Arabidopsis thaliana: one gene and its partner. The protein of the gene in region 1 binds, or shares a complex with, the protein of each later gene. Each region holds a gene or a part of one and is shown on either strand. Other genes may lie near its edges.

Evidence for each region.
Region 2: CSN6B (region 1) and COP9 share a complex: the UniProt entries of both Arabidopsis thaliana proteins name them as parts of the CSN complex.

Annotation. Positions count from the first base shown.
Region 1 is NC_003075.7:13,353,270-13,362,918, forward strand, and holds CSN6B (COP9 signalosome subunit 6B), read left to right. Parts: upstream 1-1,722; 5' UTR 1,723-1,959; coding exon 1,960-2,257; intron 2,258-2,337; coding exon 2,338-2,426; intron 2,427-2,513; coding exon 2,514-2,607; intron 2,608-2,702; coding exon 2,703-2,764; intron 2,765-2,854; coding exon 2,855-2,933; intron 2,934-3,024; coding exon 3,025-3,117; intron 3,118-3,307; coding exon 3,308-3,408; intron 3,409-3,537; coding exon 3,538-3,593; intron 3,594-3,975; coding exon 3,976-4,057; 3' UTR 4,058-4,326; downstream 4,327-9,649. Other genes in the region: WRKY34 (WRKY DNA-binding protein 34), read right to left, coding at 4,327-4,858, 4,935-5,093, 5,181-5,878, 5,964-6,281; AT4G26450 (uncharacterized protein), read left to right, coding at 9,287-9,649. UniProt on the Arabidopsis thaliana protein: Component of the COP9 signalosome complex (CSN), a complex involved in various cellular and developmental processes such as photomorphogenesis and auxin and jasmonate responses.
Region 2 is NC_003075.7:8,129,622-8,139,883, reverse strand, and holds COP9 (COP9 signalosome, subunit CSN8), read left to right. Parts: upstream 1-4,895; 5' UTR 4,896-5,016; coding exon 5,017-5,100; intron 5,101-5,208; coding exon 5,209-5,288; intron 5,289-5,662; coding exon 5,663-5,844; intron 5,845-6,352; coding exon 6,353-6,460; intron 6,461-6,695; coding exon 6,696-6,835; 3' UTR 6,836-7,004; downstream 7,005-10,262. Other genes in the region: XTH15 (xyloglucan endotransglucosylase/hydrolase 15), read left to right, coding at 1,688-1,963, 2,052-2,245, 2,324-2,723; AT4G14120 (uncharacterized protein), read right to left, coding at 3,072-3,259, 3,454-3,547, 3,637-3,885, 3,986-4,194, 4,333-4,699; AT4G14105 (uncharacterized protein), read left to right, coding at 10,208-10,262. UniProt on the Arabidopsis thaliana protein: Component of the COP9 signalosome complex (CSN), a complex involved in various cellular and developmental processes such as photomorphogenesis and auxin and jasmonate responses.

The DNA of each region.
Region 1 (9,649 bases):
TCTAGAGTCTAAAGAGATTAGCAGTTGGTGCCTTGGTGGTTGACAAAAGAAAAGAAGAAGAGATTAGCAGTTGCGTTTAACATTGGTTTTATCTAGAAAGATGAACTGATGGTTACATATAAAACTAGTCGTTGTCTGTCAGTGTCCACTAAAGACTATTTTCTTCTTTTGATATACATTTCTAAATATACAACAATATCATTTCTCCGAGGTTTGTGAATTGTTTAGGTATAAAATAGTTTTCTACAATAACTTTTGCTATCGGGTGCAAAGACATTCTACCATAGAACGAGTTTAGTATAGTGTCATTTCGTAGATTCTTTATTCGGATTGGTTTTTCAATATCAACAAAATTCTGGTTCATTTTCTTCCCTCCTATAAACGAAGGTAAAAAGAATGAAGAAAAAAGAAAAGAAAGAATATTTTGTTAATGCATTATCTAACGTGTTAATGTGTCACTTTCATTTTTCTTAATCGTTTGTTGAAAACTTTTTGCAGTTGATTTCAGGAAAACGGAACACACATATATATATATATATGTCTTTTATTTTCAATACGGACCAAATCCATCATTTGCTAATCAGTGAGAAAACTAAATCGTGGTCTACTAGTTTATATAAATTGAAAAAAGAATCATAAATAATATGTCACATATCCAACCTAAAGATTTATGTCTATACATGTAAAAATGTAAATGAGCATATTCCCAAATTTCCCACAAGTATATAGCACTACCTACACTCACGCTTCTTCAAAGTGAAGGCGATGGTGGAAAAAAGCGTAGACGATGACTTGATAAGATTGACTGAAGAAAAGAAAAAAAGTTATCATAAGTCAAAAAGCATGTCGTTAGAGTTTGACGAGATCCCATGCATGATTATATTGTCGGATACAATTGTTTGAACAATACGGTTGGAAAAATCTACCGTAATATGAAGACTTGAATGACATAACTAAAGATTGTACCTTGCAAGCCAGCAATGTGTTAATGATATGAGTAAGGGTGCAGAGGCTGCGGCTGGTGGCTACTGGCTAGTGATAAGCAATTTACGATGTAATGACAGATATATCATAGGAGACTAGGAGTTATATATGGTATATATAGAATCTAAAATAACATATTTATCAATTTACTATATTAAGTTTTATGGTTCCAAACTCAAAACTAATTGTTTATGAGTAGATTTGGTTTATATACTGTATATTACTCATATTCTATTTCCACTTTTAATGTGGGATTTCTCATAAACTATATACAGTTATATTTTTAATTAATGAAATAACAATAATACAGATTTAAATGTAGCCTTAACTATTTTTATGAAATTTAAATGAAATTTAATTTAAAAGATTGCATTCAGAATACAAAACTGTAATATTCTGTAAAATATTGATAGGTACTACTTACAACATAGGAAACATATTTAAAGATATGTTATATAAACTAAAAATAGTTTAAAATATCAATATATATATATATATATATATATATTACGAAAAGAAGAATTAAAACAGACTACACACATAATAAAATTTTAATAGTAACACTTACAAACATATCCAATAATATTAAATAAAATTAATTCATTATGATCTTTATGTTATTTCTATATACTCAAACCAAAAAAAAAGAAGTAAATGATTCAAAATCCAATCATAATTATTTTTCAAATTCATTAAAATACAAGAAATTTCATATTAAAAAAATAGATATTTCTTTCAAAGATTTATATTCAAATTATAAATATATACTAAAACGCTAAAAAATTAAGTACATGCTATAATCTTTTCCATTATTTTTCTAACAAAAGAAAGTTATATATGGGCTAAACTTAGAAGGAAAGCCCAAGAGGCCAAGACTATATAAAGATTCATGACCCGAGTTTAAGATCCGATTTCAGAATTTGGGACTAAAGGAGGACAACGACAAGCGCCGGGAAAAAATCGAGAGCGACAACAATGGCGCCTTCTTCGTCGAGCGGTCTCACGTTCAAGCTACATCCTCTGGTGATGCTTAACATATCCGATCACTTCACTAGGGTTAAAACTCAGCTTAATCCTCCCGCCGCTTCTTGCGCCACCGGGAATGGCTCCAACAACGCCGACGCGATGTTACTGCAAAACCCTAGGGTTTATGGCTGCGTCATCGGTCTCCAGAGAGGTCGTACGGTTGAGATCTTCAACAGTTTCGAGCTGATATTCGATCCTGCTCTTGATACTCTCGACAGATCCTTCCTCGAGAAGAAGCAAGAACTCTGTAAGTTTACTTACACTCGCTCACTTTTGTTGTCGATTGTTTGATACTCTTGCTAATTTGTGAGTTTTGTTATTTTTTAGATAAGAAGGTGTTCCCTGACTTCTACGTATTGGGATGGTATTCTACGGGAAGTGACGCTACCGAATCTGATATGCATATCCACAAAGCTGTGAGTAGTGTAGCTTTAATGTTTAATATAAATTTAATTGAATTTAGGATTCTCATTGTACTGATTTGTTGAGGTTTTCATCTACAGCTGATGGACATTAATGAATCTCCTGTGTATGTTCTTTTAAATCCTGCTATCAATCATGCACAGAAGGATCTTCCTGTGACTATCTACGAAAGCGGTAAAAATTGGTTATTTGCATCACTGATTGTCTTATTGTTTTATAGATTATAATCTTGCTAATCCTGTCTTTTTGATTGTTTTCAAAATTTGAAGAATTTCATGTCATTGATGGAATTCCTCAGTCGATTTTCGTGCATACCAGCTACACAATTGAGGTATGTGTTTAGGCCACTTGATCTGTAATCTATCTATGTGATATGAGAGTGGACTTTCAATAACATTGCAATGATTGTAAACGCGTGCAGACAGTTGAAGCTGAAAGAATATCTGTTGATCATGTTGCACATCTTAAGCCATCTGATGGAGGCTCAGCTGCGACTCAGTGTAAGCTTTATTATCACTTCATATTTATCATAATCTGTTCTTTCTTTTTCATCTGCATGGAATTTTAGGTTGATTCCTCGATTTTGTGCAGTGGCTGCTCATCTTACTGGAATACATAGTGCCATCAAGATGCTTAATAGCAGAATCAGAGTGCTATACCAGCATATTGTCGCTATGCAGAAAGGTATATTCTTGCTCAAGTCCCCACTCTCGGTCCCTCTTCAATTTGTTAATCAAGCTTTTGTGACCTGTCCCTTGATCTTAGAATATTTCTATGTGTTTTCCTACGGGGAAGAAAGAATTAAAAGGGTGTTAGAAGATGATTTTGAGCAAGAGTAATGTGGTACTAATGACTTATGTGATTCTGCATCTAGGTGATAAACCTTGTGAGAACTCAGTTCTGAGACAAGTATCTAGTCTGCTCAGAAGTTTGCCTGCCGCAGAATCAGAGAAGTTCAATGAAAATTTCTTGATGGTAAGTAGTACCTTACCTTTTTCTAGCAATGTTGGTTAAATAAAGTGGCCTTCGAATCTCTTAAATTCTTAATGTAGCTTGTTGTTGTGAATGATATCTTTATAAATATGATGTTCTCTTCTTTTGCAGGAGTACAACGACAAATTGCTGATGTCTTACCTAGCAATGATCACGAATTGTACCAGGTATGTGCTCGACACGCTATTCCATTTAACTATTTGAATAAAAGAATGATGGACATGCATGCAAATCTTTTGCTTGATACAATGCAATGTTTTACGATACCAAGACAGATGAAATCACCAGTACTTGGTTGAGGCTGACATTGAGATAGTTTGTTTTATTTAGATTAAGAACTAAATCTAGGACCTTGCTCAATTATCCTTGTTATAATTAAGATACTGAGCCTGTAGTAGCTAAGGGAATATAAGCTTCTTTTTAAAAAAAAAATCTAATCTTGTGCTACACCTTGACCAATCCATATGTCAATTTCATTCCAACGAAATGTCCTGAAAGAATCCTTTGTATATTTGATCTCTTACTCTCCTTTTTCCCCCCAAAATGCAGCAACATGAACGAGGTGGTTGACAAATTCAACACTGCATACGACAAACACAGCCGAAGAGGTGGTAGGACTGCGTTCATGTAAAGATTAGTTTCAATGTAAAAAAACCTTTTCTTTCTTTTGGTGGTCTGGTCCCTAAGTGAAAATTTAGAACTCTTTTAAGGCATTTCACTTTTCGGAACCAAACAAACAGCTAGGAAGCTTTTCTTCTGTTTAAGCTTTGTCTAGACAGAAGCTAAGTTTAGGCCTAACTAAATTTTGCGACAAGACTGTAAAAACAAAACAGCTTTTACCTTCTCTCAATTTTTCATTTATTCAAAAATTTGAGCAATCAGTGAACAAAGAGATTTGTTTCATATCTGTCGTAATCTACTCAACATCTCTCTGCATATCAATGAGCTCGCTGACAAATCAAGTCCCTGTTGTGGTGACACTGGTTCCACCTTCGGCTGTGCTGCTAACTGCAACATTAGGCCAGTTGGATCCCCAATGTCAGGCGCCTGCAGGCTGGTAAGCTTCTCTTGCCCAATAGTTAGACCAGGCATTGAAAGATCAGAAAGCTCAGATTGGCCTATGTAAACGGAGAAACCTGTAGGATGCCTCAGGTGTGACTGGAAGTCAAATAGAGATGAGTTGGCTGTGGCCAGTCCCTCAGATCTACTGTGTGGCATTGGATAGTGCACATTGTGGTTGTGGGTCTGAGTCGCTAAACTGCCTTGGAGAGTCCCTGAACTGCCTGCACCGACGTGGCTGCTGTTGCGTGCTGCTGGTACAACGTGGGTGTGCTTGCCTATATAAGTTGTTAGTACGCTCTTGAAGTCATCAGAGGCTCTCTCTACATGCTTCGTTACGGTACATCCATTAGCTGTGCATTTATAGTAGCTCCTGAAAACATAGAAAACTGATTTTATTAAATTCAACAAAGGGATAGCAGCAGAACAGAGCATTTGGATACAAGAACCTTGGATTCGGGTTTCCTTTAACGACTTTTTGCCCATACTTGCGCCAGCGATAACCATCATCGAGGATGTCAATGTCACTTGTGGTCTGCACCACAACTCTTGGCTCACGGCTGGCTCTGGTTGATCCACTCGTTTCTGTTGCATAAGCTTCTAGTTTCCTGATACGGGAATGCCATCAGAGCTCAGAAGTCAGAACGTCTTGTCTTTCTAAGTATTATAATGGTTACTAGAGCAACTTTTTATACCTTCTCTTTGATTCGGACTCTTCTACCTCTCCATCGTAAGTCAGGGAAACACTCATGTGGGACGTGCGATCATCTTCGTTTTCATCTCTATATAAGGCATCAGCTGCTGCATCACCATACCCGAACTGATGAGTCCCGTTTTGAACCTGCATTGATCCTGAATGGCTTCCGTATTCGAGCTCTGCAGATACAGGTGATGTCCATTCTATGTTCTCATTGGTTCCAGCAAAACCTTCGTATTCGGTTGCATCTATTTGCATGTCTTGGCCAGTACCGGATGATCCAATCCCTGACCGGCGGTTAGGTGGAGGTTTGCTGTGTATATGATCTCCTGTGTATATGATCTCTATAATATGACCTTCCCGAGACCGTTCAACCTTCTTCTTGGCCTCACAATTCGGGTGCGTGCACTTGTAATAGCTCCGCGGATACTCACTTCCTTTAACTAGCTTTTGTCCATATTTTCTCCAGTTGTATCCATCATCTGCAGGTGCACAACAAGCCATCGAGTCTCCTAAACCGCCGAGCTGTCTTTCTTCATAGTCTTGGGAATCATCGGGTTCTAAAGCGATGTTAGTAGGATCAAGGCCACTTCCTGAAATGGTTTGGAAGGCTAAGGATGTGGTAATGTCGTCAAATAACTCAGCTTTAGCCTTATCAGAAGGTACTGATGAGAGCTTCCCGGTTGTTGGAGATAGCTGAGCTTACAAATGATAAGAGATTTTAGAGCACTGATTCACGAAAGAGAGAGACCATAATGAAATGTTGAAAAGAAAAAGTTACCAAAGGGTTTGAGAGGAAAACAGGAGACTCTAACAGAGTTGCAGGACTAAGACCAGGAGAAGAGATGGTTAAAGATTTCGACTGAAGAATATCCTCAGTGTTTAACCACGGTGCATTAAACCCGGATCTCGCAGCAATCCTTTCACGAAGAGCTCCTCGTGAACTTTCTTGAAAGGTGGTTTGCAAAGAATCCTCATTCTTGATGTAATTTAAAGAAAACTCTCTACCAAGTTCCGCTTTCGATCTCTTCCTGTGGTTAGTAGTACTACAGTCGAACCATTCTCCCATTACAGCAGCTTTATTATCAATACCAGCCATTGCAAACCCAAGTTTCAGCTTTAACTTGGGCTCAAGCTGAAACGTGATTAGGTGTTACATATATGACACAGAGCAGTTAACATGGAACTAAAATCTTAAAAAATTATTGTAATTAAAATGGAAACAGAGCAGTTTTTTTTATATGCAATAAGTCTTTTGATGGAGATACAAGAGTGATTAATACCTTATAACAATGAAGATAAAAGAGTGCTTAATACCTGATTTACTAATATACATGCAATAAGTGACACCCATCAGACTTTTTATTTCGCCGTTTAGACAGTAAGAGAGATCGAAACATCGAAACATGGACTTGTCTATGTCTCTCTGTTTTTATGGGTTGATCACACAAAATGATCAATATAATAAATCTTCTGTAGTAGAAATCTCTTGCTCTTGCTCTCTCTCTCTCTCGTTCTTGATTATCGTTTACCCTCAACACAATGAAAATGTATATCGGCAGAAAAACTACAAGAGATTTACACAGCTTGGTTAGATAAAATTTCTCCTTAACTCTCTAACAAACAAAAAAGTTTCAATTTGTTTTCTCCAATTGTGTTAATTAATCAGTTCCACAAAAATCACCAACAGTTTAACTATTTTTAGAAATAGAGTTTTGTGCAAAACAACCTTCAACTTTATAAACGTTTTCAAATTATTTTTTATTTTTATTTTTTTGGTAAAAGTAGACAGTGCTGTGCCCAATGACGTAAATGTTGAAGTTACAAAAATAGATGATTTTGAAGATATTTTTACACAAAACCCTTAGAAATATACATTATACTTTCTTTTCTCTAAACAGACACCTATAAGATATGAAATACCATTTATTTGTGTTTAGTCTTCTTATGTATATGGTAAGCTATATCTTTCATATAGTCTAATCAGTGCATGTCCATCAATAATACCATGCATGAGCCTTCCTCCAACTATTCACAACAGGAGCTGAATATTAAACTGGCAAATTGATGTTCTACCATATATACCTATTATATCACAACCAGCATAGTCTATAGTGGTTTTACTATAGCTAATGTAATTAGTACTAATTAAAGCTAGTTGTTAGAAAAACATGAGCAAAAAATCTAATTTGCAAACTATATTTAGTATATAAGTGATTAAGTTACAATAATCAATTAATAGAAATACTTTTTTCAATAATATTCCAACCACAGAAAAAACCAATTTCTATCATTTTGGCAGATAAACTTGGTTTCGCTAGTTTGTTAAACGAACTAGCAGTATAGCTTATTTGTTTTTGTTTATATATAGAAGAAACTCAAGCCAGTTGGGTTACCTATCTTGTTTATGAATTTTCGTTAATGTTTGCAATATTTCTGATTTTTTGTGAAAGACTAAATTGTAGAATTGTATCCACATTTTATTCTTTCCGTTCATGTCGTAGATTTTTAGTTTATGTTTCGGTCAACAAGTCGTGGAGTTAAAATATACTATACAATAAACTGAAAGTTCAAATGGAATGGGGTTCACCAACTTTTTAATTTACTTATTCTTGTGGTCACTTTCTTTCAAAATGTACTAAATAATTTTATATATTCTCATAATGTCTAAATATAAACAATAAATATGAATATGAAAATAAACATAAATATGAAAATAATTTTTCTTTTATAAAAGAATTAATAAACTAACGATAAGTGATTATAAAAAATATATGTCTTTGGAAACCAAACAAAATAGTTTAGGCTTCAATCCCATTAAATTCTCATCTAAAATTGATGCATGTAGCATGTAGATATGATCATGACAAAACGATGATTTACAAATTTTTATTTTTCATTTGTTCGTCATAAATATTTGATCGTTTATGATAATATTATTATTAGACATGACTGATTGTTATTGCACAAATAATTTACATTGTATATAGAATTTGCATCGCATTTTTATTTGCGTATCAATGGCTGACACTGAGATTTATGAGGCCACAAACAATTTCGGTTTTGGGGGCTTCATGATCTATATATAAATTTTTTTTACCGTTTGGGCCTCAAAAGCTATACATACTACTTGTTAAAATTTGGGATCCAACACCGATGTTCCACTAGGATATGATCAGTTACGGATTATTTATTGTAACTCTTGACAATATTGCACAAAAAATTTCTTGATTGTAAACATTCGGGTTGCAACGTCAGACCATCTCACTTTCTATCCTCAAAATAAAACATTTCCAACATGCCATTTTTAAAATTCTAATCTCATAAGCATGATATTATTTGGACATGAAGTGTATACAGTTATAGTGTACAAGCAGGAGAGTAGAAGTCACGCGTCTTACAGATGAACTTAGTGCTAGTTTACCAAAGAAGCTGACGTGGCGTTTTCATGCTTTCCGTCTTTGTGCTAATAATATATGGTAGAAAAAACTTTTGAGACGCAAATAAAAATGCGAAAACCCCAAAATCGTAATCAGCAGCGATCGAGATTTTCGCCGCTGAAATCTGGAGACTGATTATTACAAACTTGTTCGTCGTGTTCTTCATCGGAGAGACACTAGATCGGAAAATTTAACCTCGATTTGATTGCCGTTGCCGTAACATTTGACTGTTGTTTTGTGGTGGGGAATTCTAGGGTTCTTGTTTGATGAAGAAGAACTGAAGTGAAAATGACCATTAAAATCTCCCATGAGATGATTGTGTCCGTTCATTCTTCGAAATCGGACAACGGAATCGAATGATCGTCATATTCTGTAAGAGAGAAGGTTAGATCTTCACCGAATCTGGAACTCGAGATCCATCGTTTTGTTCGATTTTCTATTCTTTCGCACAAGGATTGGTCTGAGAAGAACAAGTTCAAGTTAGAAGCTGTTGTGTTCTGTCCGGTGAAACTTATTTGAGCTGCTGCAAAAACTTCAAAAGTTGTTACTTTTTCTGAAATAACTTAAGCTTCTTGGTATTTTGAGACTAAATGGTTTCACTACTCTTGTGAATTCCTGGAAATCAGAACTGTTATTAGTTTTTTTTGTATATTTAGGGACAAAGATGCATGCTAGGCAACGCAATGTTGGGAATGGGTACAGATCTGGTTCTATTGGGATGGGTATGTCTGGTTCTAGAATTTCTCCTGAGCGTCCTATGAGAGGACATGGGTTCTATGGTTCTGAACACCAACACCGTGGCTTTAACCGTGGATATGGACGTGGAAGGGGACGCTCTAAATCATACCACAATCAGCTGCCTCCGCCTCTGCCTCCTCCACCGGTGCAGCGTAGAAGCAGTGGCGGTGACGTTTTCATGGAGGCAGGTCGTCTAGCAACAGAGTACTTGGTTTCTCAAGGTGTTCTACCACAAACTGTGCTTTCCAGTAAATGGCAGAATGGTAATTTTAGGAAGCAAGCTGGAGAG
Region 2 (10,262 bases), 5.2 Mb from region 1:
TTCGGTAATTAATAGTTTAACTATGCCACACCATAAACGATAGAAAAGTGGGAAAGCTAGCTAATATAATAAACTGGTGTGGCCTCCTTAAAAAAACAAAAAGGTAACTTATGTGATTACTTTTAAAAAGTTTCCAGAGTGTAATACTTTCTCTAAGTTTTTTTCATTAATATTATCAAAATCCTGAAATCTTAAAATTAGGTTGAGAAATGTTCCTATAACTTTAGGAAAATAAAATAAAATCTAATTTAATGTTATAGTGATTCTTACTAATTGTTTTGTTAAGCAAATTCAATTACGGATAACTGATCCACAGAGGAGAAACCTAGTTTACAAACGTTTGTCAATTTGCCCAAAAAAAAAGGCCGAATAGTCTATTTAAGAATATAACCTATATGAGACTAAAAAAACAGAAAATTTACTAAATCTTTTTGATAAACTATACTAAACTTGAAAAGCATGGGGAAGTTCTCCAATCATAAATATTAGTAACCCTTTATGATTTCTCGTTTTTGTCCTGCAAACTATTATTATATACAGAACAATATGGATTTGATTGGTTTCAATAGACGATCCTTGTATATTACATAGAATAGTTTTCTAGTTCCATTACAATTTCCAAATGATTTGTTACAAAGCTACAAGATTATTCGAAATAGGATTTCATCCATAAGAGAGAATGGTGTGGTCGACGCTACAATGTTGATTTATTGGTTGTGGTTTGCATCTTGGGGATGTCAAATCCTAAGTTTCAAGTTCTTGTAAAAACGTTTTCAGGTTTCTTTAATATATTTTAATATTAATGTAAAAAGAAAAGATATAGCTTTTGTACAAAAAAATTTGTTTAATCACTATGTAGGAGGATGCGATCAAATTCATGGAATGATGTATTATTAGCTTTTCTATCCTCACTCTAAAAACAATACTATAGTGAGTTAAATAATTTGATCATTTCAATGTAGATTAAAATTTTATTAAAAGAAGAAAAATTTAAAAGCCTATAACAAAATAAAAAAGGAGGCTCGAGGTATGATGGGTGTAGCAGAAGAGCTGGCAACAGCTATCGACTGAGTGATTACGAACTCAGTACTCAGTGTTCTCAGCTCACACACTCTTTTTTTGTTCTCTTTCTTTTGGACAGCTTTCATTTTCTCTTTTCTTTTTTCTATTTTGTTTCAAAATTCCATCCATATTAAAATAGGCCTGATCATGAGAATAAAGGAAATACTAATGATGAGTTTCTCAATAATGCAATAAGATGCAATTATTATGAGCTATTTACTATTGAAAATGAGCAAATAAATGTCAAAACACAATCTGGTTAAGTTAGAGCAACTCCATTGTATAGGATTCATGTAGTTTCTAAGAAAACAAAATGTATTAATATTTTACTTTTACATCCAAAAAACCAACTTATATGAGTAATAGAAACGATCCTAATATTAGGAATTTTAGAGATTTTCTCTCATCTGTTTCTTAACTTTTCAATATTTTTATTTTTTAAAATTGTATGAGTTTCTACTAAGAAACTACTGCTGGAGTTGGTCTTAGCTTCCCAATGCTTCTCCACCTATATATATGCATATCTCCTTCTTAAAACTCATCTCACACCAAAACACAAAGCTCTCATCTTCTTTTAGTTTCCAAACTCACCCCCACAACTTTCATTTCTATCAACCAAACCCAAATGGGTCCAAGTTCGAGCCTCACCACCATCGTGGCGACTGTTCTTCTTGTGACATTGTTCGGTTCGGCCTACGCAAGCAACTTCTTCGACGAGTTTGACCTCACTTGGGGTGACCACAGAGGCAAAATCTTCAACGGAGGAAATATGCTGTCTTTGTCGCTGGACCAGGTTTCCGGGTCAGGTTTCAAATCCAAAAAAGAGTATTTGTTCGGTCGGATCGATATGCAGCTCAAACTTGTCGCCGGAAACTCGGCCGGCACCGTCACTGCTTACTACGTAGCGTTTTCAAACTCACACTCACTCATAATGTTGCTAAAACTGAAGAGACTCTTTTCTAAATTTGTTTGAACGTACATGTTTGCAGTTGTCTTCACAAGGAGCAACACATGACGAGATAGACTTTGAGTTTCTAGGTAACGAGACAGGGAAGCCTTATGTTCTTCACACCAATGTCTTTGCTCAAGGGAAAGGAGACAGAGAGCAACAGTTTTATCTCTGGTTCGACCCAACCAAGAACTTCCACACTTACTCCATTGTCTGGAGACCCCAACACATCATGTAAACATCCATCGATCTATTTTCTCTAACAATAAGTGAAAGACGTAGATCTTGACTCTCTTGTTCTTGTCTCTGCAGATTCTTGGTGGACAATTTACCCATTAGAGTGTTCAACAATGCAGAGAAGCTCGGCGTTCCTTTCCCAAAGAGTCAACCCATGAGGATCTACTCTAGCCTGTGGAATGCAGACGATTGGGCCACGAGAGGTGGTCTAGTCAAGACTGACTGGTCCAAGGCTCCTTTCACAGCTTACTACAGAGGATTCAACGCTGCGGCTTGCACAGCCTCTTCAGGATGTGACCCTAAATTCAAGAGTTCTTTTGGTGATGGTAAATTGCAAGTGGCAACCGAGCTCAATGCTTATGGCAGGAGGAGACTCAGATGGGTTCAGAAATACTTCATGATCTATAATTATTGCTCTGATCTCAAAAGGTTCCCTCGTGGATTCCCTCCAGAATGCAAGAAGTCCAGAGTCTGATGAACACATATTACCTCATATTTCTCTGCTTGTTTGATGCAATTCTTAAATTCCTCTGTTATTCCATTGTACATTGTCAAGATCAATAAAGCATTCCTGGTTTCAAAATATAAAACAACTGAAATTAAACCTTTAAAGAGACTACTATTGTCTTTCACTTACCAATAAAGGACAATCAGAAAAATATGGAGACATAAGAATCAACAAGTCTAATGCATAGGTACCTCTAATGTTTTCGTTTCAGTTCTTTGACCTACAACTACAAGTACCTAGATGAACAAGCTCTGTGTAAACAAGTCAAATACGCTTAAACCCTATATACATGACTTTGTTACTAACTGATTAACACTAACAGCTAAACTCAGCTAACAAAAGTTGAGTTTCTTGCTCATTCTTTGGATCAGCTAGTGGCGTCTCAACGTTGTTAGAGCATGTATCTAAATCTGTAACTTCATTTGATGCCCCTTTAGCCTCAATAGCTGAAGCATTCTCCTCTATATTCTTCTGAGGATCTGTATGCGTGGTTTCAGGAGTTCCTAGAAGAACAATGAAAGAAAAGAGACATCAATTTCTAAGGCTACCAATTCTGACTTTATAATTTCAATACAAGCTAATATCATGCATTTATACTATCTTACAATTTACCAAGCCACAGAAGACAGTATTATTATCTGACTAGTACTGACATTGAATTATACCGTGTGCTAAACATGAATATAAAGAGACTAACCATGATTATCCTCTGAGTTCTCTTTGAGATATGAAAGCATTCTTCTGTAATTTACAGAACCTGGCACTTTAAATAGCTTGCGCCGGCAGCACAGCTGTTTCATGTCACAACAGGGAAAATGTCAAAAACAGATTCTTAAATAAGGAACAAGACTGCAGCTTCTTAAAAAAAAACAGATCATACAGAAATTTTGTTGCCACTGGATGAAGTCATCTTCTTGAAAGGGCTATTGTTTCCATGAGCTTTAACAAAGCTATTGGCAGATACGGTTTCAGGAAGTCGGTAATTTGCTGCCATCAATTCACCTCTTTCATCCTTAGGATCTTTTGCATCACCATCTCGGGTAACATCTGCAGCTTCCATCAAGTAAGGAAGCATTCTTCTATAGCTCACAGAGCCAGGGTTCTTGAAAATCTTTTCCGGATGACGAATCTGTATACATATCACAAGAAGAAAATTAAGCAACCAACGAAAAGCCAATATTGTAGTTTAAACGCATCATTTGCTATAAAACCATGAGTAAAAAACATACCACTTTGCTGCCGAGATTGGTACCAACTTTCTTCCCAGAGACCTCACTGATCTCTTGATTGATAGAACCTGCTTCATTTTTCACCAAAGAAAGCTCACCGGTGAACATTCCTAAATCCGGTGGCGTCGTTTGTGAGCATTCCACTACTTCTAAATCACCTCCAGTAGCCACTAATCCATCAACAAGATATTTGCTTCCTTCTCTCATAACTGTTTTCACCATTGTGTAATCATTATAGTTTCTAAACAGATATTGAAATTTCCTAATTCCACCTTCATTATATCAACATTCTCCTAAATTTTCTTAGAAAAACTTGTACAAGAAAAAGACCTTAAAATAAGAATTACCATTAGAATTCGGAGTATCGCAAGGAGATTCCACATTTAGCTCCTTGGTTAGATTTCCCCCTTTCACATGAAAGTCCCAATCACTAGAGATGGAACTAGGAGAGAATACGCGTCTGAGACACAGATTCTTCACGGTGACACGAGAACAAGTTCGGGGCATTTGAGTAACAATTTTCCCTTTGATCGGTGACGCATGATGGTGACGAAGATCCGTGACAATGTGAGACAATGGGGATGCAAATCGAACGGAGGAACGATTGCTCTGAGTTCGTAATTTGCTTGCCATAAGGTTCTGAGAGGTAGTATAACGAACTGAAGAAGACGAAAATCGCATCTTCTTCCTCAATATAGGATCTGATTCGGCCATGGTAGAACTCGCGCCAAGAGAGAGCTACAGAGAGAGAGAGAGAGTGTGTGTGAGAGTGAGAGAGACTGTTTGTTATTTTGGCGGGAACAGACCGGGTGGCTTTATGATGTTTGGCGGGAAACTAAGGCTTAGTGGGCTTGGCCCATTTATCCTCTTGTGTTTGGTCAATTTTTTGGTCGGTTTAAGTAAACCGTATTGAAAAGATTATTAAAACCTGTAAATCTCACAGAATTTATTTTTCTTTTCCCTGGAGTGGTTTTGGGAGTAGAATTGTCATCTTCGCAAAAGCTTCGAGAGTAGTGCAATCGAAACAAGTCATGGATCTTTCGCCTGTTAAGGAAGCTTTGGCCGCCAAATCCTTTGACAAAATCGCCGATATCTGCGATACTCTCATGCTTCAGGTTCGTAATTTCTCTCGCTGTCGTTGTTTCTGATGTTCATTAGGGTTTTGTGAAGTGGATTTTGTGGTGTTAATCGTTCGATTTATCGCTTCTTAATTTTTTTTATAGGTTGCTTCCGAAGGAATTGAATATCATGATGATTGGCCTTACGCAATCCATCTTCTGGGTTACTTTTACGTTGACGATTGGTGAGTTTATTTTCTTCTTTGATGTATTTGTTTGCGTTGTGAACCTAAAGTTAGTTCCTTTATGAAATTAGAGATTGTTTCGTTGAACTCTTGTGAATTTTAGCGCGTCAAAGTTGTTCTTACTACTTCGATTGCTAGGTCCTAGGTTGAATCTAAGGTCTAAAGTCTGCTTTTTACATTACCTTGTTTCTATCCAGTGATTTGAAAAATTAAAACTTGACACAAGTTAGTAGTTGTTGAGACCCATTTAACATTTTTTTCCTTTGTGTATTGATAGTGAGTGTAGTATGTTGAAACTATTGAGTTATGGTTGTGCCTTCTTGACTATGGATTTGGTTTTGATGTTTTGCTGTGCTTGTTTGGAAATACTGCAGTGATAGCGCACGTTTCCTCTGGAAAAGGATACCTACAGCTATCAAGGAGAGGAAGCCTGAAGTTGTTGCAGCTTGGGGGATTGGTCAGAAGCTGTGGACACACGACTATGCAGGTGTATATGAAGCTATTCGGGGTTATGATTGGAGTCAAGAAGCTAAAGATATGGTTGCTGCCTTCTCAGGTAAATTTTTTCTCTGTTTATGACTTCTTAGCTAGTATGAATTGGTTTCTTGAACTAAGCTTGTTGATTGCTTATGTAGTTGTGTACTTTTATTACTTCATATCCCTCTTTAGGTTTTGAGCTTTGATATACATATTGAGATCGAATAGTTGTTTTATTGTTTTAACTTGTGAGGCCTAGTTTAGGATTTCTGTTATGCACAGAACCACCTTTCATCTTATCATTGAACTATTGGAACTCGAATTTGAATCAAATTTCATCAATGTATGTGCCTTATCACTTCTTCATTAGAAAGTAGTTGCTTCTGTGGTCTAACTGAGAGAGAGGTAGGTAGACTCACACAGGAGGAACGAGTAAGCAGTTGACAGACTTTTCCAACCAAATGTCTAAACGTTGATCTGAATTTTGTGAAGTTGTACCTTTTTCCACATCAATTGTTCAACACCTGACCTTTATGGGTCACTTTCCATCAGATTCTAATTCTATTTCTGAATTGGTTTTGTTGTAGATCTTTACACAAAAAGGATGTTTCAGCTTTTGTTGTCTGCCTACTCCACAATTACCATCCATGATTTAGCTCTTTTCCTAGGGATGACGGAGGATGATGCCACAACTTGTAAGCTTCTTTCTGCAATTTCCTTTGCTTACAAAAGATTAAGTACCTCATTTCACATTTCTATTGAATTCTACTGAATTGATTCTTATATTGATACTTTTGAAAAATGTCGAAGAGTTTGTGGCAATGTCTTAGCTTAGTGTTATTGTAGGCATGAATCTTATGACAACCATATATGTTACGGAATCAGAATTAACAGTATAATTGTTTTCTTTATTGCTGGATATATACACAGATGTTGTAGAGAATGGATGGACAGTGGATGCAGCTTCTCAAATGGCGAGTGTGAAGAAACAAGCTGTTAAAAGAGAGCAAAAGGTGGATTCATCGAAGCTACAACGCTTGACGGAGTATGTGTTCCACCTTGAACATTAAAACTAAGTGCCGATCTCCTATTAAGATAGTGAAATTCTAAGAACAGAATTCGTTTTTGAGAGATTTCACAATGACTGATTCTAAGTTGCAACATATCTTGACTCTTTGAGTATATGATGAATAACTCCTACCAATTTTACTCTTATAAGATCAGTTTACACCAACAGGCGAACTAAAACAAACATTTAAAAGATCAGTTTACACAAAAGACGAACTGAAACAAACAAAAGATGAAGTCAATATTATGAGCCAAAAAGGACACAGCCTAAATAACACACGTTTTCAGAACAAAATTAGGCAGAAACAAGAGAAGATCATTTTAGCGACTATAACAAGCTAGCCAATCTCTGAGATAAAAGATGATAATCTTCAAACCGGAGAGGTACTCTAGAAGAATAGGAGCCATTTGTCGATCTAGTAGATGACAAGCTGGGGTTATCAGAGATTAATAATTCTTAATTTATTATTAAATTATCGATAAATGAACAATTTTAAATTTATTGAGAGATTTTACTATTCTTTTATAATTTTTAAAACTGGTTTATGTGAAAAGCAGTTTTTGTAGTTATAATCAACATCCTTTTAAAAATAATGAAAAATATAAAAAGTAAATAATTATTAAGTCTAGAAAACAAAAAGAAAAAAAAATTGATACTGTAGAAATATTAGAAATAAACTCTTCAAAAGATTAATACAAATTTTAAAAAACAAATATTAGTAGGAGTAATAGTTAGAAATACTCAAATGTAAACATAAATTTGTATTAATCTTTTATGTTTACGATAGGTTTTGGTGAATCGATAATTTGTTCATATTCCCTATCCCGTGTGTTTTTTGTTCATATTTTACTCTGTTATATCAAAAACCTAAAGCCTAGATAGTCTCATTTCTCAAGACTGATCCTTTTGTTAAAATCATTTACGCTTTGTGACTTGTGAAGAAGAAGATACATGCATCCTCTGCGCGAGTGAAAAAAATCTCACCTCTCAGTTTAGATTTTCCCACCAATCTAAAGACTGAGAAGGAAGACTTGTTGGTCCCAAATCATTTGTAATTGAATATAATAGTAACAAATTCAAGTTTAAGAAACTCTAAAATGTCTGTTTTAAAAAAGTGAACATGTCAAATTGAAAATCAATTATATAAAATCAAATGACATGCATTTTGGTTGAAAGAAAAACAAACTTCTCCATAAAAAGCCCAAAAACAAGCTAAAAAGAAAGCCATAAACTAAAAGTCTAGGGTTTTGGCGACATTTGTGGGTTTCTAGGGTTTTGGCGACATTCGTAGGTCTCTAATTCGGCGAGAGCACATGTCGCAGTTTTCAGACTCTAGTGATGACGATTCTTCAGGCACCATCCCAGATTTGAGGGTTGATTCTCTGGTTGAAACCTTGAAAACTCTTCTGATGAAAAAAAACTGAAACACTGGCCATGAAGCTTCTTCAGGTCGTTCAAAATTTCATTTTAAATCTGCAAATATGTTTGTTTATGAGTTTTTATATAATATATCTGTTTTACTGTCTATGTAATGTGTGAATCTGTATTTTTTTTTTTTATCTTTTGTTGATATAAAATATATGGATTCCCGTTTTTTGAGTCCACCACTAGAGACTAAGAGTATCTCCAACAAACACTTAAACCCTCAAATTTGAAGGTTTTTTGAACTCCAATAAACCCTCAAACCCTTATTTTTTAAAGGTCACACCCTCAAAAAAATTTTCTATTTCATTTTCGTCCTTATAATTTATATATTTTATAGATAGTTATATTCAAGAGTATTTATAATAAATGACTATAGATTTGAAAAGAATGTACAAACTAACCTTGAGTCACAGTATCTTCTCGGAAACATGTTGGAGAACACGTGTAATTACGTAAATGTCCTTTGTAACATGTTATTTTTCCGAAATACAGGCGATAACATAATATCCTCTTTTTATCTTGTTATTTTCTCTTATTACATAGTATTTGTAAAAAACACATGATATTTTTTGGAAAAAACATTCTATTCAGTTTAATATCTCTTTTTATCATGATATTTTGTAGTAATACACGTTTTTTATTAAGATCACACGTGATTTCTTTAAAAATATATTCTTATTTTTTAGTAATACATGGTTTTTATTAAAATCACATATAATTTTTATTTTTTAAGATTCTGTTCATGTAAAAGAATTTCATAATAATGTTTTTTCTTAAAAATTCATAACGTTTTTTGAAATAGCATGTTTTTAAACTAAATATAACATGTGAAATTTTAATGTTACATGCTATTTTGAAAAATTACACGGATGTGTTTCGTTTACTGTTCATCTTACAACAAATGAAGGGTAGCTTTGTTATTTCCTTTTTTCCGACAACGTGGGTCCATGGTTATTTTGTAACAAAAAACTTTCTCTCTGCTAGTTTCTTAATTTGTATGTTTTATTTGGTTATCTACTAATATTACCCTATATTCAATTCAATTATATTAAATATATCCATATAATTAAAATACATTAAAATTAAAATTAAAATTATTAAAATATAAAATATATTATATTTCAAAACAAAGTTTATACAACAATGATATTACATTGAGCAATTTAACACACATTAACATTATCATTTCAATAATAAAATTATACATGAAATACACGAGTTTTATTTTATGTTTCTTTTTTAATTTATATATAATTTTGTAGTAACATGTAAAGTTTTGTTTCTCTAATATTGTTTGACATTATTTTTTTGAAATGTATGTTTTAAATTTTTTTATGAAGTTTTATCATTAGAACAAATGATTGTCAATATTGAGGGTGTGTTATTGGAGTAAGTGACCATCAAACCCTTATTTTGAAGGTTTGACATCTTTAAATTTGAGGACTTTTTGAACTCCAACAAACCCTTATTTTTTGTGGGTGTGAATAGTGTACCTTCAAATTTGAGTGTGCACTACTCACACCCTCAAAATCTTTTCAAAATTTCATTTTAGTCCTCATACTTATTTTTTTTTTAAATAATTCTATTACATTTAATTTTTACAAGTATATTCATATAAATTCAAATATAAAAAACATAACATTTAAAAACAAATTTATACAACAATAATATTACATTGAGCATATATGGGAGCATTATAGACATAACTACATTGAATAATTTTATAATTTTACATCTAATTTTATAAATTTTTTTATGTTTTATGTTGTGTTTATTTTCTAATTCATATATAATTTATTTTTTTTTTGGTGAGGATATATAATTTTGTATTGTCATGTAAATTTTTGTTTTTGTATATTATTTAACATGATTATTTTTATAGTATGTTTTATATATATTTTATGAAACTTTAACTTTTATCATTATAAGTAATTGTTGTTACAGTACTATGAAAGACTATAATGAAAATTCAAAAAAATTTAAATGTAAATTTGAGGGTGTAC